Styela clava: one gene and its partner. The protein of the gene in region 2 purifies or fractionates together with the protein of the main gene of each other region. This does not show direct contact. Links are inferred from orthologs where the notes say so. Each region holds a gene or a part of one and is shown on either strand. Other genes may lie near its edges. The genes, in order: uncharacterized protein LOC120347059 and DNA (cytosine-5)-methyltransferase 1-like.

What was found.
Region 1: the proteins of DNA (cytosine-5)-methyltransferase 1-like (region 2) and uncharacterized protein LOC120347059 purify together in Homo sapiens (affinity purification with western blotting; 3 studies listed by BioGRID and IntAct, with this or other methods). This does not show direct contact. The link is inferred for Styela clava from reciprocal best matches to the Homo sapiens genes DNMT1 and SIRT1.

The regions. Positions count from the first base shown.
Region 1 is NC_135260.1:19,825,461-19,838,629, reverse strand, and holds the start of uncharacterized protein LOC120347059, read right to left. Parts: upstream 6,113-13,169; 5' UTR 5,983-6,112; coding exon 5,877-5,982; intron 5,121-5,876; coding exon 4,899-5,120; intron 4,492-4,898; coding exon 4,364-4,491; intron 3,806-4,363; coding exon 3,686-3,805; intron 3,274-3,685; coding exon 3,181-3,273; intron 3,106-3,180; coding exon 3,005-3,105; intron 347-3,004; coding exon 240-346; intron 1-239. UniProt on the Homo sapiens protein: NAD-dependent protein deacetylase that links transcriptional regulation directly to intracellular energetics and participates in the coordination of several separated cellular functions such as cell cycle, response to DNA damage, metabolism, apoptosis and autophagy.
Region 2 is NC_135257.1:3,596,833-3,610,037, reverse strand, and holds DNA (cytosine-5)-methyltransferase 1-like, read right to left. Parts: upstream 5,789-13,205; 5' UTR 5,739-5,788; coding exon 1,638-5,738; 3' UTR 459-1,637; downstream 1-458. UniProt on the Homo sapiens protein: Methylates CpG residues. Preferentially methylates hemimethylated DNA. Associates with DNA replication sites in S phase maintaining the methylation pattern in the newly synthesized strand, that is essential for epigenetic inheritance.

The DNA of each region.
Region 1 (13,169 bases), on a different chromosome or scaffold from region 2:
TTATATTAATATTGAAAAGGCCTCATTTCATTAAATACTGACTTTTACAGGTAAAATGAAATAGTTATCTGCAGTGCAAATCATTAGTTTTCAGTTTATATTTTGATGATAGATGATATCCAAATATATTCGAAAAAAGTGAATATAAAATAAATAATTTGTGGAAAGTTCCAGACATTTCAAGATTTTACTTCGAGTTTAATACTAAATTTTCTTTAACATCTTCTATATTAACTTACCATGGCATTGAATAACTTTTGATATACCCGAAACTTGTTCTAAAGTATCAATGTTTTGAGTGTAATTCCTGAGCAATCTTTCAGTCTTTTGTAGCAATGATATAAACCTGGAAATGGGGAAGATGGAAATTAAGTAAAGAACATCGGATCCTACTAAGATTTTAGTTCATCAAAATTTAAATCTTAAATCAAAAATGTCAAATATTTGAATACATAACAGTCCACATGTATTCGGATTTGAAACAATTAACCGGTAATCTACCTCAATTTCTGCCATATGGGACAAAGCGAGTATTTAACAGGTTTCTCATATAGGAGGAAAAATATAAAAGCAGTGCTTATTTGGGTACTCTCGTAGTGTGTGTACCAGGCAGGGCTGGGGAGCCGGAGCTGAAGTCGGAGCCTGGAGCCGTTACATTTTGATGGAGCCGAAGTCGGAATTGGAGCCAAGCTTTTCATAACAGATGGAGCTGGAGCTACCAAAAATTTAGTGGCTCCAGGCTCCAGCTCCTAAATATCTCATTTTTTGTTTTTCAAATTTATAATTTTTTTCTGATAGCGTTACAAATGATAAAATCTTTTCTTTTCAGCTTATAATTCATTTTAAAAATTTTAGTTCCTACTATTTTTTAAAAAGTTTTCAGTTATTCTGTATGTTTGAAAGTTTAGTATCAAAATTTGAAGCGGTTCACTTTTATCAAAATTTTGATTCTCATTTCCACTAAGCTGCAATTTTTCATGATTGCGGTCAAGCTCAAAAACCCTAACGGCCAGGGATTTTCGAAGAAGTGATTTTGGAATTTCCATGTAACATATTATGATTTTTTCGTGGCGTTGAATATCCAATCCATTTCAAATGTCTTCAATTCTGTTCAACATATCTCGAGATTGAGTCGTTTTACGACAAAAGAAAGGTTTAACTACTCCAAAATGCTCCGCAGCAGTCACCTGGCATAAAAATGTATGGCAAAGTGCCCCATTATATCTTGTTTTGATCTATAAAATAGCATGTTCTGGAGAAAAGTCTCATCAATTTCCGTTGTTATTTTTTGAATATATAAAAAGTATATCGCGAGTATTTATTTTAGTGACTGTATAATTTTCAAAGTCAACCGGTAAATAATATGTCGTAGGCAAAAAATATAATGAGATTAACCTGATTAACAAGGCATTTTTTTTAGCTGTTGGGAGTCTCCCAGAACAAAGTTTATAGTGTTTTCCTTTTCATTTTAGTATCTTATAATAACTCTCCAATGTGGAAACTCGGCTTGCGAATTGACTTCTCTATTTATCTTTAACATCTCATCGCTGATAATTATGAAAACGCCTCGATTCTAGAACCAACTTTTGGCCTGATTTGGGAGAGGGGGACGGCATCTAATTGGGTGACGATGGTAATTTCCATTATTTTGGGTCTGCTTATTCAATTTGGACCATAAAATCCTGCCCTCCGTCAGGCCAGTTTAAATTATCATGAGTTGAAGGGCTATTGCCGTTACTATCACATGTGCGTTGCATTTCGTGAAAAGCGTCAATTGTTTTAGTCGCCATAAACATTAGGCCATAACATCTTTTATTTCAGTGTTTATTTTTCCCTTAATCACAATTTCTCAAGACATATGTTTTGTGTCGCGCACCATATTTGTGAGAAAACGAGTTATTACATAATCACCGGTGATGAAATTCTAAGATAAATAAAGAAGTCAATACGCAAACCAAATTTTCCTGATTAAAAAGCGACATTATAAAATACTGAAAATAAAACAGAAAACACCATAATTTTTGCTTTAGAATGGCCCACGACAGATTTTATTTGGCCGGCATGATTGCCAGTTATGTTGAACACAATTAAATTAAAATAAAAAGACAGTTATTATGGGTTAAATATTATGTGGTAGAAAAAGTCATTATGAGCTATTTTACCGAATGCGCAAACGCTGCGACCATTCCAGAAGCCGATATTCCTTCCCGTCTTATTGTGGGGTGGGTTATATGTAAAACCCTTATATGCTGGGTAGATCGATTCGCCCGGAAATACAGCATAAAATAACTCTCAGTGGATTCAAAAGTTACATGCAGGAACAAAAAGGAATTATCATGACACCAACTTGAAGGGTGTTTACAGCCTAAATAACATGCCACACTTAGAAAACAATTAGCAAAATGCGTTATTGGGCTGCACTACTGATAATGGCTATGGAGCCGGAGCTGGAACTAAAGATTGAATACACTGCGACTCCGGAGCTGGAGCCGGAGCCATCATGATTTCGAACCAGCTCCCCAGCCCTGGTACCAGGTTAGGGTTAGGCCATAATTATATTCACATTTTCCGCATTTTAGTTCTATTACAAGTTCAGAGACTGTCTGCCTTAGCCCAGTGAATATACCCCCTGCCCATAGGTTTCAGTCGCTTCACACAACTTGATGTAAAGTAGGAAGACAAAATTAGTTATCTCCATATTGGTAGTTGGTACACACACTTCTGCAGCACCCTCATTTGTAGCGACTTTTAGCAAGTGATTGTGAAAAAATATGTGATACAAGAGTCATTAAACATATACCTATATGAAAATTGAATTAGTTACGCAAAATATGAAAACATTTTTTTTAAGGGTTTTTGAGTCACAGTTCGTCCGAGTGTTCGAAGTTAAGTCGAGTACTGGTGGTTACAAGTACAAATCATGACTTGAGTGCACTGCCCCAACACTAAAAAGTACTATCATCTATGATCTATCATTCTTAAAATTTAAAAGTTTGAAAACTACCTGTGACTTCTGCTAGGTTTGAATTGTCCTGGATATATTTCCTTTGCAAATTTAAAAAATGGTCGAGGATCTTGTGTGAAATATGATATATCAAACATCGCCTAGAAACAAAGAAAATATTATTTATGATGTCATGCAATTTGCTCATGAAAACTTTTACACAGTATAAGTCAAACCTGTGGGTCTGGTAGGTCAGGAAAATCAACTGCAAGTCTAGCGTATATTCCATCGCGGGAACGAAAATCTGGAATTCCACATGATACTGAAACCTTGCAAACATAGATTTAAATTAGTGACAACAGACAGAGGGAAGAATTTTCTGAGTTCAATTAAACTCAGTTATAAATGAGCTATGAACTAACCAGAACTAAGCTATAATATCTGTAAATATGGCGTCTAGCTGCTCCGAGATAAATATTCATGTCAAACAAAGAGATGTTTCGCTTCACGGCTTGTCTTCCCTCTCATTTCTGTACTTTAGGGCAGATATAAACTTATAATGAGGGCACCGAATGGCCACCATATAATCGATGGCCAGACTAAAGACGGGCGGCTTTCTGATAAACCTTGATGGTGACAATTTTTTTCGATGAAGTCATTTACGTATATATATCATGTCCCTTCAGTTCTCACTTTGCCTTATTGAAGATTTACATTTTCTGATGATAGAACATCACTCACCCCTGCTCCAGTTAGTACTAATATATTTTTTGCATTTTTTATCAGATTGACAACATCAGACAATGAATTGATGTGGGATAACTTTGGTCGTCTCTGTGGCTCACTCAGAATGTTTAAAACCTGAAATAGCAAAAAAAGTATAAGTTTGAAAAAGACAACCAAAAGAGCAAAGATTTTGATAGCCTGAATATGATTGTGATTTAACGTGGACCTTCTGAATTTAAATTGCGATCTCATATCAATCCTCGAATAGTGTCTGCATCACGATCATCACCAAGCATGCAAAGTTGGCCAGGTGCCACCTCGAATTATAGTGGTTGCTTATTTTTATGGTACAGCCGTACGACGCTTTGGTTGGTTGGATGGTTCATCTTCATTTAGGAGATAACGACAACAGAGTCCCGAGGCTATGGCAATACACGTTAGGTCGGTGCCAAGTCGAGTCAAATACCAATTCTTTCATTTTAGAATTAGAGTGTGGCGGCCCTTCAACAATGTTGTATTAAAAAAGATGCAGTTGCATGTTTCCAATGGCAAAGAGACTTTTCAAAACAAATTTTGTTTTAAAATGCCAGCATCAATTTCATAAATATAACTATGTTTGAGCAATAAGATTTTTCACCAGCGTATGGGTTGTAAGACAGCTTTGTTAGGGTTAAAAGGTAAAAAAAAACTCACAAGTTTCCATAACGTAAATGGATTGATGTCTACAGGTAAACTACTGGATAAACTTGGTACAAGATGGTGAAGAATTTCTCTAGGATCGACGCCTGACAACATCTGTGCATGAACCCATCCAATCATACCTGTGAAGAAAGATACCTTGTCAAAGGAACGAATAATATCACTTTTTTTAAACTTTTTATGATACAATATTACGGCGCTGCAGAGTGGATCGCATGAATGTGTTTAATAATAATTGTCGGGTAGTCCCTAAACCGTGGATCACAAGCCATTGGAGTCTTGAGACTAGTCAGTCTGTAGTCGAGTCAAGTTTTTTAATCGAAATAAGGCTCAGGCATTTGAATAAAATAATGTTGAAAACTTGGAATCTGAATCGAAATTCTTTTAACTCGAATTGGATACAGCTTTGTAATAAAAAAAAGCATCATTACCAAATTATTCACTACTTAAGAATAAGAGGGAAAGGTATTTGAAATTAATAAAATGAACCCTGAAAAAGCGTAATTTTGAATAAAACTCCGCTACAAACCAGCTGGTCTTCTTTGCCAATCCCCAGAGCTTGCATGAGATGATGAATCACTTATGTTGCCGCTATCTTCATCATTGGGATTTTCATTTTCTATATTACTACTATTGCCTGAACTACTCTGGACATCATCTTGTTCAACGGAATGAAAACGTAGATGACGTCCTGGTGCTGATTCTCCACTTTTATACTTTGAATCACCAAGCCCATTGGAGAAATGAGAACCTGTAAATACGAGAAAAAAACAAATTGATATAAACATAAAGCATTGATAGAGTGAAATTTTCCCCACTTGATGCATTTCTAATACCTTTTCTATGTCCGAGGGTTAACATTATAAGCTCACCCAAAGCCAACCAACTGAATCGACGTGTTTGTAGTTGATCTGTGACTTGGTATTTCAGGGCTACGACTATCAATCTTTGAATCTGCCGCATCAAGACTACATAAATGATGTCATACGCAGATATGCATTGAAAATTAGACTCATATTATGATTTTTTTCATTACGACCTCTGGACTTGGACATATTATCAGTATTATAATACAGAAATGACATCACTAGACACTTTGAAATAATGCATTGTATTTTTGTAAATTACGGTACAGAATACAGGAATATACATGACAAGTAAATAATCTACAGTGAAAATTAGCCCAGCAATGTCATCTTAACCATGATGTTAACATGAAGTCAAAGTAAATACGGTCTGACGGTATTAATGTGCTTGGAATTTTGATAAATATTCGAGGAGGTTTTAGCCTAGCAGTCACAGACTAACATAATCAGTTGTGTAACAAATTAATAGAGAAACAAGCGATTGCGACTTTTGTTTTAGAATTTAGAGGGTGATGGCTAGAAACAACAGGACTTCTGGACTTGTCAGAATATCCTCATCCAGTTCATTCGAGTTCTGTAGACTATATGGCTGTACGGTACACAATATACCGGTACCATAAAAACTTTTAAAATAAACTCACTTAAATTGGGTTGAATTCCAAAATCTTCACCCTCAATTCCGGCCTTCTCTTTTCTTAGTTTTTTGTACGGTACAACCAAATCATCTTCATCCATATTATCCGCCATGACACTTACAAAAGCTGATTATCTAACGCTGGAACGCCCTGAAGACAAACCACAAAAGCAACAAAAAACTTGAAATTTGTAAAAATGGACTAGGATTTTAGAAAGATGGCAGAACCACATAAGCCATTGGGATTTGGGAAATCGCAAATCAGAACAAAGGCATAATGTGCAGGAGCGTATACCGGTACCGGATTCGAGATGTGTAATTACAAAAGGGTTGTTATAATCAAGATCTTTGAGAAATTAAGAATTAAATTATATATAAATATTCTTTTATCAACTTTTATGCTATTTTAATAGTAGTGTGGATATCGTACTAAATGGAATCAAAATATTTTAGTTATAGAAAAATTCGCATATGACTCGATGCACCACTAAATGACGAGCCAAATTATAAACTAATAGAAAAGTATATAAAATATGAAGTTTTTAAATGCAGTGAAGTATAAGTTTATTTCAACCTCCTAATCAGCAAAATAAGGCAATAAAGTGATTGTTTGGAACAAATAAATAAAAACCGATTATGAAATCAGGATACGGTAGGCGCAGGCTATTATAGGCTACATAACGTAGGGCTGGCGGGCGCACACTGCTTGCGAAAGCTTTTTATGCGGTCGCGAGATAGGATTTAAAAAAATTGCATAATGCGATCAATGCTAAATAACAAGTTTATATGGGATGAATCCAATGGTAAGATTACTAATTCAAATAACATCCAAGTCGCCGGCGCGGCGGTGTGGCTCAACGGGCTAATCATTAGGAATACGCTCGCCTCCGCACCTCTAATTACTCTGCGTGGGTTCGCAGGTTCGAATCCCATGCAGAGATGTTTATGTGCGAGAGGATTGCTGGACTCCTCGCCGCCGTTGGGTGGTTCACGTAACCGCTGGTCGGTTACGGCTTCCTCCACCACCAAGTCCATGCTTCCGAAAACAAACAATATACCTAATCCCATACCCGACTTGGAATGGTAACCGGACGAGAGTCCAAGTCCATGCTTCCGAAAACAAACAATATACCTAATCCCATACCCGACTTGGAATGGTAACCGGACGAGAGTCCGTGGTTCGCCATATTGATAAGCCATCTTATCGGCTTTCCTCTCCCCCGGGATAAATATGTAAATCCTATCCTCTCTTCGTTAAATTTAACTAAGTACTTTTGTATACCGGATTTATGATTTTGGCACTATGGCAAATGTATGAAAGCACATGCAATAGTAACTTTTAGTTCCAGCATTCAAAGAAAAAACGCAATGATCAAGAAGGGATTGAGAACGGACAAGTGAATGTATCGACAAATGAATATTTTTTGATTACCTTGGTTCGTAGGTTCGAATATCAGGAGGAGTAAATTATGTGTGATAGGATTGCTGGAATCCTCTACGCCGTATGGTGGTACACGGCTTCCTCCGTCATCAAGTCCATGTATCTGAAAACAAATATCTAGCTAACTAATCCCATACCCAACATGGACTGGTAACCGGACGAGAGGCCGTGGTTCGCCGTATGGTTGATACGCATTATCGGCTTTCCTCTCCCCGAGCATAAATATGTAAATCCGACCCTACCTTGTCTTGCATACCACAAAGTAACGTCAGTTTCACTGCACAGAAAGCTAAGTTCAAAAGTCCACTCCACACTTCGGGATTGTCTATTTGAAATTTCTGGAACCAACGTTTCCGGATTTTTACTCAGCAAATGCGGGATTTGGGGAATTAGGGAATATTGCAGCTGAAATTAATTGAATCTAAGCTGAAAGAACACACATTATTTGTAATGTGGACGCAGAAACTAAATCACAGAAAAGTTGTACAGTACGCAGGTATTTCACCTACGGTTCTTTGCGAGACGAGGCTTCTTTGACGGCCGCTTTATTGTCTACAATGTAAAACGAGTGAATCTTTGATTGTTTAGTACTGCTATTGTGTGGTATTATTCTTCAATTAAAACAACGGTAAAATTGATATAAGAATTGATAATAAAACAGTAAAACAACTTAAAATTTGAGACAATTGAAAGATGTGTGTAGCCCGAATCGAGTGTCCCTAAATTTGGAAAACCTAACTCCAAATTCAAAACGTCGCCACTCGCCATCACGTCCCACGACCAATCAACGGCCGACACGATCCTAACCTGGAAAACTGTAATAGCACGTTTATCTGGAAATTATGTAGGGCCGATAGTGAGGAGGACTTTTTAGGTAATCCGATCATTTTTGCAGGTTTCGATAGGTGTGTTTCAAACCACGACAAATGTGGCTTTGTTCGTTTAGTTAGTTTGAAAATCTCCTTTATCAAATACGGTTGTTGACTCCCCGAAATGTCTTGGGTGATATACGTTCAAAGTTACTCCTATGTTATCTCTGGGTGTGAAAATTAGAATATAAAATTGTTTGGAAGGTTGTATATAAGGTACCGTAAATATTGGAAATCATTCAATGACAAAGGATTACACATTGATTCATACTTTGCCCAGACGTTGCTCGAAAATATAAGGAACGACTCATTATGATGTCATAATACCCCCCAATGTCCAGTCTACGTTTCAGATTGTTTCCATTAATCACAAGAAGGTTATTGCGCACACTGTGCTAATATTAGGTATTTTCGAACAAAATATTTAATTCTTATTTTGTCAAGCAAACCTTTAAAAAGGCTCGCAACGCTTTATAAATATAATCGGGCGTTTCAATGTGATTGGAAAGAAAAATGTTTCGGACTGAAATAGATGTCATGATATAAATATCAATCTAGCTATTGTAATATTTATTGCTACATCCATCACGAGTGCGGTTTTCCCAGACGTCAGAGTTAAAATTCAAGGCCAATTACAAGCTCTGACACTAAAAAAGGTTGAGAACCGTATCGTACTTACACTTTAATAAAAGTTATTTTGAATCCATAATACACGAAAATCTATATGATATCACTTATTCGATATCATCTGACAATTCTTCACAAGACCGATTTTCAATGTGAAGTTTTTGAAATATTGACTAGGAAGAACATCTGTCACTACTCACCGCTGTATTGCACTAAACTTTATTGGGATTTTTACTCGCACCTCAAAAACTGAATTTTATTGGGATATTCATTCTTTTAAAATTCAATTGAGGTATGCTTAATGAATACAGGTATTCTGTAGATGGACACATGAGCAAACTAAATTCCATCCTCTAAAAGTGGTAGCAGACATCTTCTGGATGACCGCAATATTTAAATTTTTTCCAACATTTTTAACACAGCACCCCTAAAATATTCCAAAATGTCATTTTCGGATCTAATCATTTTACTGGCAATTATTTCAGGCATCTCTTTTTTTTGTCATAACACTTTCAATTATGTTGTTTATGAATTTGCAGCTACTGAGTCTATCAAAACATGAGGCTTGAAAAAAGATTTTGCTTTACAACAGTACTCTGATATCTGAATTATATTTAGCTCCTGATTTTTATTGCGACTGAAGCACTTCATCCATGCTTTCAAGATACACCAAATATGAAAGATGTACATCCGAACGTAAGCTACACTTTTCTTTAAACCACGTGCAGAGTGCTCCTCTGTGTTGGAGTAAATCTTCATTGCCCATCCATATCAGTATGTATCAACTCATTTATTATGTCTAGTGTCCATTTGAAATAAAACCCTAGATGTTTTACATCTAGATCAACTTTTTTTTTTTTTCGAAATCTAGATGTGAAATTTGGAGCCTATATGTTAGCTATAATTTCTAGATATTTTTTTCAAGGTTATAAATATTCTTCAGTGGGAAATAAATAAAGAGATGTAAATAATACTGTAATAGGTGAATGAATATTGTTTCATTATTTATAAGTATTGACTAAGATTGATAAAACTCACTCATATTGTATTCGTCCACTGGTACCATACAGCCATATGTACTCAAAATATTTGAATAACGAATTTAACATGTTCAAAACATGTGACGTTTTAATTAACGTTAAATAGAAACTATTGCTAACTAGGGCTATTGAATGTGTCTCTCTTTAAACATCAACCTTTCAAAATGCCAAAGTGTATACACTACCAGCAAAAATTTAAAAAAGATTGGCTTAATTAAGGAATGGTTTGCCCCTTCAGATGATAAGAATAAGGTATTTTGTAAGTTCTGCAGGTGGGAATTGAGTTCTAGGTTAGGATGTTAGCTTCTTCGACATCTAATATTACTGTATTATGGTTACTTTGCATTAAACTCAAGGATTTGATATCTAGATGTATTTTCTAGATGTTTTATTTTTCAATCGGGATGTTACTAGATGTTTTTCGAGGTCAATCTAGATGTTTTTAGTCAGGCAAAAGTGGCAGCCCTGGTTGGCACCTTCTGTCTTGTATTCAGTGTAATCTATTGCGCTAGGAGTTGTTTATCGTGTTTAATATTGGGTTTACTATCTGCGGTTAGGATAAACGATTCGGATCGAAGTTATTAATTGGGTTTAAAAGTAAGAGGTTTATACTAGGGTTGTAATATAACGTAGGGATACAGGTTAGGGTTGTATTGTAGTCCAAATGGAATGATAACTGCTGTTTTTGTATTTAGTCACATAAATTAAGTTGCTCTTCACGTCTGTCTCTCTCGCCCAGTATCAGTGTTCGTGGTTTTTGAAAGCTCGATTAAATCTTCTGCCGCTGCGATCCGTTCGTAGACGGTTTACGGCATATGCGGAACCACGGGTGACTTGTAGCAAGTGTGGGTATGCAAACGAGACTCTTCCTCATATGCTGAATCACTGTCACCCAGTCATGAATATCATTAAAGAGCGGCACGATTCGGTGCAGCAGGAAGAGATCTTGGCTCACCTACCTCCAGCCAGGTTTTCTAGGTGCGATGTCGACGTAGTTTGTCGTGAGCACACCGCTAGAACAGCTGAGATGCTGCGGTCCGATTTGATTCTCAAGAAAATCTGGACGAATCGGATCGTAGTGGTCAATGTGGTGTGACCATTCGACAACGGCGAGCCGCTATAGATGACGCGGCCCGTCGGAAGCACTTTCGGTATGAAGAGTTATGTCGCTCCATTGCTGTTGCCTTTGGCAAAGTAGTGGAGTTTACGCATTTGTGGTTGGTTCTCTCAGCAGTTATGCCGTTGGAAACCAGACTGCTCTTCTTGCTTTGGGTGTGATTGAAACGGTCGCTACGGCGGTCTCCCGTAACTGCGTCAGGAAATCCATCCGGGGTTCCCACCAAGTCCGGAGGGTTTGGTGCGAACTTCCTGGCAGTGTTGGCTAATCTGACTTCACCCTCTTTTCCGACACTGCATTCTACTCTTTATTGAATTTATTCTCCTTTCTTAGTTTGTGTATGAGGTGTTATTTTATGAGTGATTGTTTTATAATTTGATTGATCATAATCACCCGGTTGATTCCCACTAGCAATTTCCCGATGTAGTTTGAGCCTTTTTCTCACTGAAATACCTCCACTGATCCAGTGGCTTCAAATTTGTTTGTTTGTAATTCATCCCGACCTGTCATATCAATTTTTTTAATTTGCTTCAAAAATCAGTAGCTTACCTGTGATAATTGTCGCGTAAGTTTTGGAAGTAAATTCATTTGCGCCAGCGCCATCACTTTTGGAGATTGAACACGCATCTGGTTTTCTACCGAACAGGTGCTAGGCTTAATTCCTCCTCAGTCACGTTCGGTATTCCTAAGTCTAATTGTTTCAATTTTGGTTTAAATATTTCGTTTATATTGGTTACTTTAATTTTTTTCATACGTTCTTCCTCTTCTGCCCTTTATTCTTCGTTTTTGTGCGCCACTAAGAAGTTTTGCTTTCGACATCAATCTGACAGCCTTCGTAATTGTGCGTGCCGGCGGCCGGTGCGATCAAACCACACGACACCGAAAATCGACGACTCCGGCATTGTTACATAACGAAACGATTTGAGCAGAACCAACATCAACATTATAGGATGTGCATTACTCCTTTTGCAATGCAGCTTTTGGTTTTCTTAAATATCTAAATTTTAACCGCTTGGGGCCCCTTTTCGCTGTGCCCCCCCCCCCTCCCCCCGCGACCGCGGGGGTTGCGGGGGTGGATGCTACGCCACTGCCTATATGCCATGTATTTGTATATATATTAGTTTTATACCGCTCGCCACCATTATTATTTTAATTTGTAGATTTATCATGTCACCAACTTATAATTTTGATCAATTGTCTTTTTTTTCTTTTTATGCGACCACTTCACACTTTTCCTCACTTCAATTTGGTCGATAGTAAAAGGCGAGTGGTACCTATTATAATTATACAGTCGTTTTCATCAAATAAAAATTTCGCGTATTTTTTTGTTGTTTCTTTTTTGCTCGGCGAGTTGGCCGCGACTGGCGTTGATTCAAATGTTTACACTTCAATCATATATATATATCCCCAGATCGCGAGCCACTCGACGAGCATCCGACATTTATTTCCTATTTTCTTTGAGGGGCTGGTCCAGTTAGATAAGCCGCATTATTTCCTTTTATTTTGACATGTGGTATTTTCACTACATGTTTAATTAATTTTTTTTTATTCATGTTATATATCATTTGTATTTATTTGTGTATAGGCAGGGTTGCTGGCGATGTACCAAAATAAAAGTAACCAAAGTCAAGAGTGGCCAACACGTTGATCACGATCGACCGGTCGGGTCTTGACTATACAGTCGAACGCGTCACCACGCCTGAGAATTCGGTAAAATATCTCAAAATATTGTCTTTAACAAGTTTGCAGCGCATGTTATGTGTTTTCAAAACATGAATAATACAGTACCGCTCACAGGCAGAATACGATACAGTATACACATATAGTATTTATGCCTGGGCAAGGCCAATAGGGCATATTATTACGTAACAAAGGCAAGTTTCGCCGCTGCCAATTTTAAGAAATGAACTTGCCAAATATCGTGTGCCTTGACTGACGAACGATCGTAAAATAACTTCTGCAGTATGCTCTAAAGTATTTGTCTCACTCGCAGTAGCATCAAAAGGCCTACTACTTTTTAATTCCAAGCGAGCACAGAATCGGAATTGGAGGAAATTGTACATTAGGAAGTTTGGGCAGTCATCTAACATTTATGGTTTGGGAATGTTTATTTTTTGCTGTTTAGATAATACGTGGATACTTTGCAAGGTTTTCTGAGGAATTTTCAACACTTGCGACAGAAAATTAGGCAGGTCTTAATACTGGA
Region 2 (13,205 bases):
GCCAAATAAGTTTGGGAACCTCTGATTTAAATGAAACGGATTTTTGGTCCTGAGACTCACGTCGACTTTTTGTTATCTCAACGTAAAGCCAGATATAATTTCAACAGATAATTGTACCCCCAGAAACATGACCGGCCAAATCTAATATGAACATGCGACAATCACTCCGCTTAATAGCTGGATGGTCAAAATATTTTTTCTGTAAACATCGTACTATATTTATTTGGATGACATAATGGTATGGATGAAACACGACTCGTGCTACATTCGTCTGCTAGAATTTTTTTACTCCTAAATTTTTCTTCTAAGTTGAAGAGATCTTCAACACTCAATTACATTACCTACCTAGTTGCAGGTATCCGCTTAACATGCTTTCATAAGATATATGTTCATCTTCAATGTACGGAGTTATTGCTGCACTTTAACAAACAGATAACAAACAGAAAAAATAGTTAGGATCAAGCATTGGTATGAAACATGTTTATTTAGACAAACTGTTAACAATTTAAACAAAAAAAAAAACACAAGGTGGGAACCAATCTTTATACAAAACTTGGTACTTATGAAATTCTACTAAGTCAAGTGCATGATCCGAGGTTATAATTAACAATTTGTAAACAATGATACTCAATCCAGATGGAAACTTAATTATATCAAGTTTAATCAAATAATATGTAATCAATGCATTGAAATTTCGGAAATATGTGTGTGTATGAAAGGTGGAACCAAAGCCAGGGTTCCACACTCATTCAGCATTCAAGATATGAAATGAGGCTTGAATTTATTGCACAAATTAACCAAGAGCAAACACCTTAAAGTTAATGATCGTTTCTCAATGAAATGATTCAGATCCTATCAAAGTTGTCATGTCTTCTTTACATATAAACCACATTATCCGACAGAATACATACAAAGATCAACTTGAATTGTAAAGAATACATATGCAAAAGGTTAATGTATACGTTTGTTTCATTTTGTGTAAATAATATAAGTTTACATTTATTATATACTTCATGAACGATTCACTTTGTGAAACTATCAAAAAATACACATGCAGAAGTTCAAATTTAGTTGCACTTGACAACATATACAAAATATTAAGACATTGAAATCTGCACATATTGAGTAATTGTATTACAAGAAATATCGGCAGTGTAATTGAGCAGAAAATCCTTGTATAAAAGAGTGCAAGGAACATGACTTAGAAAATTATAATATAAAAGTCCGTCCAAAAAGTTGGAACAACCTAAACTGTACCACATACAACACAAGTCAAAATTTTTTCTGAAATACATTCAAAAATGAGTGCACAATTGTAATTTCATATATTGATATAATGAAAAACTAAGTTGGCATATTACATATTAAGATGAAAGTACATTAGATATCATTCATCATTCAGAATTTTGAAATATACACATGAAAATGTTTGATCTAAATTTGTTCCTGAGTGTAGCGACATTGAATTATAACTTAATTTATCCAGCTCTACCGTTGTTAACAACTTGGAAATCAATAGCAACACACATTAACAAAGTCTTATAATTCTTTTCTGAAATTTTAATAGCATTCAATGAGCTTGACATATGATACAACGGTATGTTGCCAAAATCGAAGTCCATAACAGAGAATCAAGTCTATATGTTATCAATTTTTTCTTGTTTTATTTCTGGCTCTGGTTTAACTTTCACTCCTTGTTCCACTTTCCACTGGAGGCATTTTTTGATTTCCAACCCGATAGCCTTTGCCATTGGAGGAGGGACAGCATTCCCCACTTCTCTATGCTTGTCCAAGACTGTGCCAAAAAATCGATATGTGTCAGGAAACCCTTGAGAACGAGCACATTCACGAACACTGACAACGCGGTGTTGCTCAGGGTGCAAAACCCGCCCTTGTTTACCCATAGGTTCAGGGTTAGTAACAGTAGTGCTGAAAAATCCATCCCAGTCAAGACGACCATACAAACCTGCCCAATGGTTATGACGATTGCCAGTGTGGGGAAGACACCAAGGTATCAGTGTATTGAACTGACGATCCATAGGATCACAGGACTGTCCCGTCGCACATTGACAAACACCTCTTAATGCACCATTTGGGCCTTTGCCTTGCTTCTTATCATTATGAGTGTATCTTAATAACTTGGAGGTGGTTCCATCTGCGAATTTTACAGTTATGTTTGGAAGATCTCTCCAATCTGAACCAGGTGCATGAGGAATATAAGACATTCTAGCTGCGACAAGTGGACTCATCTCTTTACATATATGATCCCGTAGAATAGGCTGGTAGCTTGTGCCACGAATTTTTCGTTGAAAGTCACTCAATGGTTCTGAATCATACTGCCTTTCCAATTTAGAGTATCCGTTTGGAATTTTCGGCAAATCAGACATCGCATCTCGTACTGTGATAGTTCGAAAAGGTGCAGAGCTAAGACGTGTGATGTTATTCATGTAACGTTTATCATCAACCTGTGCAGTCAAAGATCCACTTTTCAGCGAAAATCCATGTAGAGGCTCAGGATACAGAGGTAGTTTTTCTCCTGGTGCTGCAGCAAGAATGATTGCTCGTCGTCTTGTCTGAGCAACACCATAGTGACCAGCTTGCAACACTCCGAACGTGCATTGATAACCCATTCTCACTAGACAAGCCAGAGTCAATTTTAACACCATACAATTTTTAAAAGAAACAAAATTGCGCACATTTTCAAGCAAGAAAAACTTTGGGCGAAGATAATCACAGTACGACAAGTAAGATACGACTAGAGAATTCTTGAAACGAGAATATTCTCTTGAGTTGAACCTATTCATTCCACTGAATCCTTGACAAGGTGGACCACCACACAAAAGTTCCACATCCCCTTTTCGTGGAAGAGTTTGCCCGCATGAATTTTTTTCTTCCCCATCCATGATACGTCGAAGAAGGACATTACAATCTTCTGTAAAAACAGTAGCACCGGGATTATTCAAACGATATGCCTGAGCAGCTGGATCCCAAAGCTCAACAGCATAGCAAGATTCTGCAATACCCGCTTGGTGAAAACCTTCCGAGAGGCCACCACAACCAGCAAATACATCCAATGTACGCAATTTTTTAAAACTGTGTTTTGATTCACATTCATCATCAATCTTCTCTTTTTCATCAGTAACTTTAATCTTTTTAGCATGAACTTTAACATTTGTTTTCTTTCCTGTTGATTGTCCAATGCGTCTTGCAGACAGTGGTGGATCATCAAATGACTTGTCATCTGCATCATATGATTCACTGAAATAAAATCTGTCAGAACCACCAGCTGTGTATTCTACGATACTTGATTTCAGGTCTAACTCATGTTCAACTCTACATTTACCTTGAACTTCAGTGAAGTTCACGATAGTCTTTTCACTAGACCAGAAGAGAAGATTTAAATCAGCAGAGTAGCTACCGCTGATACCTTTATGTGTGTTTTCAGACCGATAAAACTTTCTAACTTGAATTTTGACTTGATCACTTGGATTGCCATTTGTCTTCATATTAGAAAATATTGATACTATTCTTGCAACCCGAAAAGGCTCAGGGACGTTTTCATTACTCCCCTTGATGTGTTTTGTAGATTTGCGATAATATTCAGGGTATTTTTCAAAGTCTATTTTCTTGTTCTTTTTTGGCTTTTCTTCATTATTGTTTGGCTGAACGAAATCGAATCCATATGCCTCCACTGGAAGATATACAGAATCACCAACAGAATAGCTCACTCCATCATATTGTACTTTATTGTAAACAACTTTCTTTTCGGTCCGTTCTATTTCATCAATTGCTTTTGGAACACCAGCTTCATCTTTAGCATTGAGTCTGGCACATGATTCACATTCCCCCTCTTTGCATGAAGAGATCGGGGGGTCCTCAAATCGAGCAATATCAGAATCATACCATTTCTGACAGAAGAAATCGCTGATTCCATCGCAGTTATGCTTTTCAGGAATTTCACCTCCAAGCGTAAACCAATTCTCAGGAGTGCTTTTCATTTCAACATTTACCTTACTATTCACAAACTCAAGTTTTGTGTCTTCACAATCGTCAATTAAAAATAATTCTCCTTTATCTGCAACCTCGCCTAGAATTGATTCGGTAGCACGAATGTACCAATCAATATGAATCATTTTTGTTTTGTCAGGTTCCTCCCACATTTGAATAATCTTACCAATGAAAAGATGTTTACTTTGATCCTGAGGAAGTACAGAGACACAATCACCAAGAGTTATTTCATCTTCATTAATTTTGGCAGTGCCATAATATATTTTATTGGAAGTTTCAGTCCCAAATGGGACATAGGGATCACCAACCCACTTGTGAAGATTTTTTGATTTTCGTAGACCCTTCGATTTCGGACTTTTTGGTAATTTTTCAACAATTACATCTTTTTCTTCTTCAGTTTCTGAACCCTTGTCTACATCATATATCATTTCTTGACATTTTCTTTCCACACAAGATTGTTTGGCGATTCCCTTTCCACCAAATTTCACCATATCTTTACAAGCATTACAATTTCCACAATCTGGCAATAAGCATCGTTCACAAGCACCACATCGTTTTCGTCGTGGTGCACTGACTTTTGTCTCAACTGTTCCTTGAAAAAACGACTCTGTCATGAAGGCCACAAGAGGCGTTGTTGTAGCTTTTGTTGATGAAGCTTTTACAGCCTTTTTGTCTTTGATAATACGCTTTCGTACTGCTTTACGTTTACCCAGGGTAACACCAGCTAGATGGACAAGGTCACGCATGCATGGATGAGATAGTAATGAATCTTCATCTTCTTCCCTGGATCCATCAAAAGAATCTACTTGTTCAACAACAAATTGTGCATGGCGTAGGAGACTGTCCTCTGTAAAATGAGTGATATTTAAGTTGGCAGGTGGAACACAAGTCTGGATACGATTTACTAAATCCTCATACACTGCCTCAATTGTATCAGTAAGGAACTCAATAACGATTTTACTCATATAAATTTTCTCTTGCATGCTATTCCATAGCTTAGAATAAGAAGCACTAGCCTCCATCAAATAATAATCAGCAAATGCAGTTGAAAATCCAACGAGAGCTGCTTCACCACCATCAAAACCTGCAGTCCACCACTCATTGATCGGTCCCAACCTGGTTCCAAGCACTCCATTTTCAACACCTGCATCTTCAATATATACAGGTTTGATAACACCACTGAAAAATAGCTCAACATTTTTCTCAATCAAACCAGCATCAAACGGACACAAATGTGTATTCTTGTCATAAACACTGAAATTAGTGATCTTGTGCTGAGGACGGCCAGTCTCTTCATTGCCCACAAACAGTGCCAATGATTCGTGAGTGAGAGCAATGAATTCTTCACTCGCATCTGGTGTGTCACCTTCAAACATTTCAACTTCGTCAAGTAACTGTCTGCAATATTTACATTTCATTGTATTTGGTGTCTTTTTTTGCAAAATTTCCCCAACGATTTTGTCTTTTTGTAATTCTGTTTCTTTGTGTGATTTCAATTCAGTAGTTCCATTCTCACATATTACATTATTTTCAATACTTGTCTTCAGTCGTTTCATATCTGAGGTGTTATTTACGACCTCATCGTTGAATGAATTATCATTTGGACCATTTTCTTTATCTTCTTCAGATGCTTTTCGTTTTGCTTTCCTCTTGAACATATCAGCAATGGTAGGTTGAATACAAGCCTTTTTGTGTTTTTTCTCATCATTTTGGGTTGAACTTTTCAGCATTCTTCAAAATTTTAATACTGAGTGCAATAACACAATAAGACCTAAACTGTAAAACTAAGAGTGTAACAGAATTTAAAACCATAATGACCAAGAAGAGCACAATATAAATAGCAGATGCATGAAGATATACTAAGCTAAACTTACGCCAATATACCAACCTGTTTGTTCGTATGTGGTAGAATGTAGCCTAAATTTTCCTATCAATAATAATGTAAAATTCCCGAATTTACAAATTGACTATGGACCATAACATATATAGAACATGAGCACAGCTTTATTTCTATTAACTGACCAATATGATGCAAAAAACAAACACATCTTCACTGCATGAATGCATACTGGGAAAAATATTTTTATACTGTTACAAGTTTTAACATACAGTCAGCCAGAAAACTTGTTATTTTCTAAATTATAAAGACAAGTAAATTTATTCTACTTTAATGTACAATAAAAATATTTCTACTCCTAATGTGGGATATTTTAGAGAATCGCAGATTAATACGTCGAAACGCCCTTTTATCTTTTGAACTAATGTGGATGCGTATTATTTTTTAAATTCTAAAGACAAGTAAATTTAATATACTTTAATGTACAATAAAAATATTTCTACTCCTAATAAGAGATCTTTTAGAAAATCGAAATTGAATTTCTTGAATACACTCTGATTCTCAGCAATGTATATTTCTATATGTCGCGGTAATGGCACTTTAATGTCAGATTTTTGAAGTGAACACCGCTGGGATTTGTGGGTAAAATATTTCGCCGCAATTTCGCTAGGATCACGATGGCAAATAGATTGTTTGTTTTTTTAAACCAAATGTCTGGACATTTCGAAATCAGAGAACTGTGCCCTACAGCCTTTACGTCTGTACTTTGATTGTTTTAGCCGCAACTAGCAAAAACCAAAAAACTAACTGATAACAGGATTTGCTCAATTCTTCACTCAGCATTGTGCAACAATAGAGCAATTTTCATATTGAATTTGAGGTAATATATAAAAAAAATATTGAATAAAATTTTTTTTCTTTACTTCTGTATATAATAGGACAATCCAATATTTGCCATCGACCATTTCACAAGATTTGCTTGTAAACAGCAAAGTTAATGCATAGAAGAAAATAACGACAGAGTATAAATAATAAATTTATGATAAATCTGAATATCAGTAGTTGTAATTAATATCACCAACCTAGAAATTTCCTTTTGATAGTCAAGTTGGGAAGTGGTATACTGGTAGTAATATTATTTATTCATCATCATGCGTAACTCAAACATACATTATTAACAAAATGAAATAAAAAAAAACATAGGTGAAAGAACTCTGCAGAGGTTATCTAGCTGTTGACCCACATTCTGACATTACATTTTTGTTTGTTATTCAGGCAGTTTGCTTAGTCAGATCCAAAAGTTGTAATGATCTGTGTATTGTACCGCTACCGCCACAGCAGCTCTGATTAGGATAGGATTTACATATTTATTTGGGCCATTCCAAGCAAAAGTTGAATTCCATCAATTTTTTAAAAAGTGTAGTGAAAGTAATTTTTTTTATTTCTGATATCAAAAGACATTGGAATTTTATTGGACTGCATTCATTTCATCGAACAATTTAAAATTTCACCTAGGTTTTTGGGGTCTGGTATAGTTTAGTACCACATGCACTTCTAATTGGCCTGGCTCAATAATTTTTGCACATGTCAATCCTAACCCCCATCTGACTACGTCACCGAAAAATTACGTCATTCCGACATCACAGTAGCGTAATATGGTCCATCAAAGTATGCGGAAGGTTGTCCAAAACGTGCAGACAATCACCCGAAATCGAGCAAGCGATTTCTCTCGTTTACTCGTCACAGCGTTCACGATAGGAGAGAGATCGCCGGCTTTAGCGAGTTCGTTGTCAACGGCGCAGATGCCATTTCGGGCGATCGTAATTATAATTTGGCAAGCCCCATGACGTGTTGGTGACGTAATTTTTGGATGGCATAGTCAGGTGGGGGTTAGGAATAACATATGCAAAATTCGTTATTCTATGCCCGCTGGAAGTACTTGTGGTACTAAACTATACTAGACCCGGTTTTTGATGGTTTATAAAAAATGGCCTGAAATGTAGAAATTTTGGTATAATTGTGTGGTACAGTTTTTTCATATGGAATTGACGCACTGGGTTTAAGTTAATAAAGTTTAAATGTTTGCAGTGCTGTAGGACATTTCTTTACCCATTTAACAATTTATTACCAGAATTTTAAGAGATGATAGAGGCCGCTATTTCGAAGTGGAAAAATGTCCTGTAGTGTCACATACAATATGCACATTATTGGCATGGATTTACAGTGTTACATTAAGTAACTTGAGCAACACATAGAGGGTCTCGTGTAGTTTCTTACCCAACATACTTCTAGTGGGCGTAGCATCACAATTTTTTGACATGTCAATCCTAACCCCCACCAGACTATGCCATCCAAAAATTACATCACAATCATGTCATAGAGCTTGTTAAATATACGTACTATCGCAAGAAATGGCATCGGCGCCGACGATAAAGAACTTACTAACATCAGCGATCTCTCTCATACTGGAATCGTCGCGACGTAAAAACGAGAGAAATAGCCGTTTGATTTCGGGTGCGCGTCTTGGATGAAAGTTCGTATAGTTTGAAGGTCTCTATCACGTCACTGTGACGTCGTAGAGACGTAATATTTGGATGGCATAGTCAGGTGGGGGTTAGGATTGACACATGAAAGAGACCCCACATATAGGGGTAGTTCAGCTACTGCACCAGAAAATATTATGGGCTCCTACTGTACCATCGCAAAAATTTACAGCACAACACAACGTACTGGTAGTGCATGGTGGATTTGCCGTCCTGTAGTGTCACAATATATTTTTTTATCTACCAAGTACCGTAAGTCCTGGGTGTAACTTTTGTGCAATTTTTTACATATTCAATAAAGCAACTGATTGGACAATGAAACAAAACATGTAGCTGAAAATGTAAAATTATATAGCATCCAACAACTTGCAAAATTTCTGGAATTGTCCTGTAGTGTCACTTTGAATAGCCCATTTCAGCATTTACGGTACCGTATGTACGTTTTAAAGATTCAGATATTTTGTTTGCTCTCCTGATTTTTCATAATCAGTTTTTACCCAATTGTTTTTATCAATCATTTTATTGTTATGCTGAATATGGAGTCGAAATAAACTTATACTTCCTGCAATAATGACCTGAATATGAACGCAAAATATCCAAGCCTTTTCCCAAACAAAAGCAAGTATCGCAGTTTCCCGCGAATAGCGTTCTATGCTAAAACTCGGCCACATCAAGTTTGGCGGCAAAAACCATAAAAAACGCAAACGCCCGATGTGCCATATGTACATAAGATATGCGATGTTAAGTGCAAAATATATAACGTATTTTAAGTGTATTTGGACAACAGAAAAGCGATATATCTCAGATTTTCGTGGAGTCACTCGTGTACCTAATGGACTTTTCCCCGATCATCGACTTCCTTGTTTACTGCGTGACATTGGCCAATCAGCAAGATGCAAAAAGTGACGTAACAATGCTCCCTTTTCGCATCAGCTCAGACACTTTTCTCACTCAGACAGATTTTCAAGCGTGGTCTGTAAACATTACCTCGTTTTCGCGTTTTTGAACTCGTTAGTTTTCGGTTGTGTTCCGGAAACCTAAATATAAATCAGATAATTTATTGATCACTATGTCTTCCTAGGAGTTTTAATTTAACTGCAGTAATAAAAGATTTGTGTAGAAATAGCTGTGATAGACTAGGCTAAAATTCTTCACCGGTACTTTCAAAAAACAGATTGTTGTATGCAATGAATCATAATCATGGTTTGAAACATACCACATTTTACAGGCGCCAACTCGCAGAAGCACTCTTAAAATTTAGCCTTGAAAATTTTGCAATGGTAAAGTAGGATAGGATTTACATATTTATACGGCTTATCCATATGGCGAACCACGGCCTCTCGTCCGGTTACCATTCCAAGTTTGGTATGGGATTAGTTATATTGTTTGTTTTCGGAAGCATGGACTTGGTGGTGGAGGTCGGAGGAAGCCGTAACCGACCAGCGGTTACGTGAACCACCCAACGACGGCGAGGAGTCCAGCAATACTCTCCCATGCGAACCCATGCAGAGTAATTAGAGGTGCGGTGGCGAGCGTATTCCTAACGCTTAGCCCGTTGAGCCACATCGCCGCGCCTATAGGTATAGGAAGAATTTTCGGGGGTCAACGGTTGGGGGAAGATTCATAGTCCAGAGGGTTCATAGACCATAGCGCGTTCTGCTTCCTCAGTTTCATACATTTTCTTAGGGGTATGAGATAGAAAACATTGTACTTTAAACATCAATATCTCCTGCTGTAGAGTTTCTATTTATGACTAAGTATTTAATGCACCTAGTTGAGTTTTCGACTTCTCAATCAGTACAACCCAGTGGCGGCGCGTCAATAGGGCCAACCGACGCAATGCCCCGGTTGTTTTTTCGGTATAATAAAAAATATTCGAAAAATACCTCAATATCGGTTGCACAGACTGTCTACGAGGTGCGGCTAAAAAGAAACGGGACTGACGTCACAGATTGCGCAACACGATTAACCATCGGTAATCAACACTTTTGCAGTGTGGCGTAATATGTGTTCTATGTTTAACAATTGAAGAATGACGATTGAGCAAAGAATTAACATTAAATTTTGCGTCAAACTTGGAAAAATGCATGTCAACTCGGCATGCATTCAATCGTTGAGCTTTCTGCTCCTCAGTCAACTCAAGAGCCTTTGGCATCATTTTGGCACACACCTTTCGCATTCCCAAAGTGTCAACCAAAATGGTGCGGACCGTTTCTTTGTCCATCCCAATTTCGTTGGCAATGACGCGAATTGTTAAGCGACGGTCACTGCGAACCAACTGTCAAACCTTTTCGATGTTGGTATCAGTAGTGGAAGTGCAAGGCCTCCCTGACCTCGGATCATCCTCCACCTCTTCCCTGCCTTCCACAAATCGCTTGTGCCATTCAAAAACTCTTGTTCTGGACATGAAAGAATCTCCATAAACAACACGCAACATCTGCAAAGTCTCAGTCGCCGTTTCTCCAAGTTTGACACAAAATTTGATATTAATTCTTTGCTCAGTCGTCATTCTTTAATTGAACCCCCTATCGCCAAAAAACTCCATCAGACCTCGCACAGCATTATTTTCAACAAGAAATTTATCACATTCACTTATGGATCCTGAAAAGCAAAAATAATTGCGATATTGTGTCAAAACAGCTGTTAAACATAGAACACATATTACGCCACACTGCAAAAGTGTTGATTACCGATGGTTAATCGCAGTGGCGGCGCGTGGTCATTTTGACAACCGGGGCAAGCTACTGCGGGACCAAGTCACCCTCATCTACGGGGACAGGATGAGCGCTGTAAGTTCTCCCATCATTTTATGAGTATGAAAACCATTCCATCGGTAACAACCAATCGGCAAAAGCGACAATTTTTAACGATAAGAAAGTGTCTTTAAAACCGGTCCAAGTCAAGGGATTAATAAATATAGACATAGTTTATTTTGAAACCTCTTTCAAAAGCAAAGGCAATATTTACCCAGATAAATACAATGACATATTAACAGAAACTTCGGGAAAGCAGACAAAACCTAAAATAAGGTTTAAAACGTTGCTATGAAGAAAGGAAAGTTAATGCAAAGATAAGGACATGCGTCGCTCACTCATAGATATATATGCTGCTAGACTTCTACTGCTTGAACATATATGCAACACGCCGCGGTTTCTTGGAAGCAAAATGCTCAATAACGCGCTGATTAAAGTCATGCATCCCAGAAATAACGTCTCTGTGAATGGATAAAACAGCCAGGGAATTTAATCTATCTTGCTTCATTGTGTTTCTGAGATACATTTTAATACGCTTCAGCGTGCTGAATGTTCGCTCTGCGTCGGCGGAAGAAATAGGCGTCGTCAAAATGATGTCCAGAAATTTTGCAGACGCCGCAAAGGTAGTTACTAGAGTGTTATCTATGTGGAACCCATAGAGCGCGCAAGTTGATGTGATGTTCAAAAAAGTTTGATTGGTGTATATACATCGCAATTCATTTTCCAATTTACCCACGTTTATCATGGGGTAAAATTTGGAGACAGTAGCCAACAAATGGATGGGAGATTGACGTGCAAATTTTGAAAAATTTTTGGGGTTCATCAAAGAGAACGCGGCAAGGTGTTCAGTGCGCAGACAATCGCCTATTTGATTCACCAGAATGTCACAGCATTCCTTTGCAGACAAAATCAAACGCTGCGTTGTTTGCCCGCGGTGTAAAGAAGCACTCCACGTGTCGTCGTATTTTATTGTTTCCCGGATACGAGATACAGCATCGCAGAAGTCTGAAATACACGACTGCACAGACGCTCCATCCATTAGCCTTGACTGCAATGCGCCGTATAATACATCCACGTGATAGAATATTGTGGAGAAAAAAGCGAGAAAAAATGAAAACTCACCATCTACTAGCAGACGCTTTAGACCTGCCGCCTCCCTCACAGAGCGTTCGTCCCAAACCGGAGAGCTCTGAATGCCATTGAAACACTCAATGAGCTCAGACCTAATTTTGGACACGCCCTACACCACGCGTGATTGGAAGTTCCAACGTGTTGGTGCACAAGCTGGGAGACGTGGCTACATATCTGGCGAAGGAGGTCAGAGCGCTTCGGCGAAACGGAAAAAAATGAAGAAAACCCCGAAACATTTGCAAAAAATATACGGACGAGAGGGGTATCAAGACACATATTTTTAATAACGAGGTTAAATTGGTGTGCATAACAATGTAAAAAATGCGCATGAGGAAAATCTTCTTTTATATAAACTTGAACACCATGTTTCGACCCACTCATGACTGCCGCGCCGTCATAAGTTTGAGCTATCAATTTTGACTTCGCGTTGTAAGGCTGTAACACTTCTTTTAGTACAGCCGATATCCCGCAAGCCGTGGGATCAACGATTGGTACAAAGCTGTGAAATCTCTCGGTAGGTTTACCATCTTTCACAGACCGAAAAATCACAGCCAGTTGGGAAACGCACGTGATGTCAGTTGTCTCGTCAGACTGAATCGAAAGGAACTGGCAATTCTCAATTTCCAGAGCCAAATGTTGTAAATAAATTTTATACATTGAGTCGAGCAAATCATTTTGGATATCCTTAGATGTCCCTTTCGAAACAGTTGCGGCATCAAGATGATCTCTCAATACTGTATCTAGGGATGCGGTGTATTCCACCATATCCAAAAATACCCCTCTATTAGAAGAGCCAGCCCGTTCATCGTGCCCACGGAGGGACAGCTCGTGACAACCAATGAACTTCAAAACATCTATCAATCGACCGAGAACAGTCAGTCAGTCAGTCGTTTATTTTTCACCAAAATGAAACATACACGTAATGCGAACAAA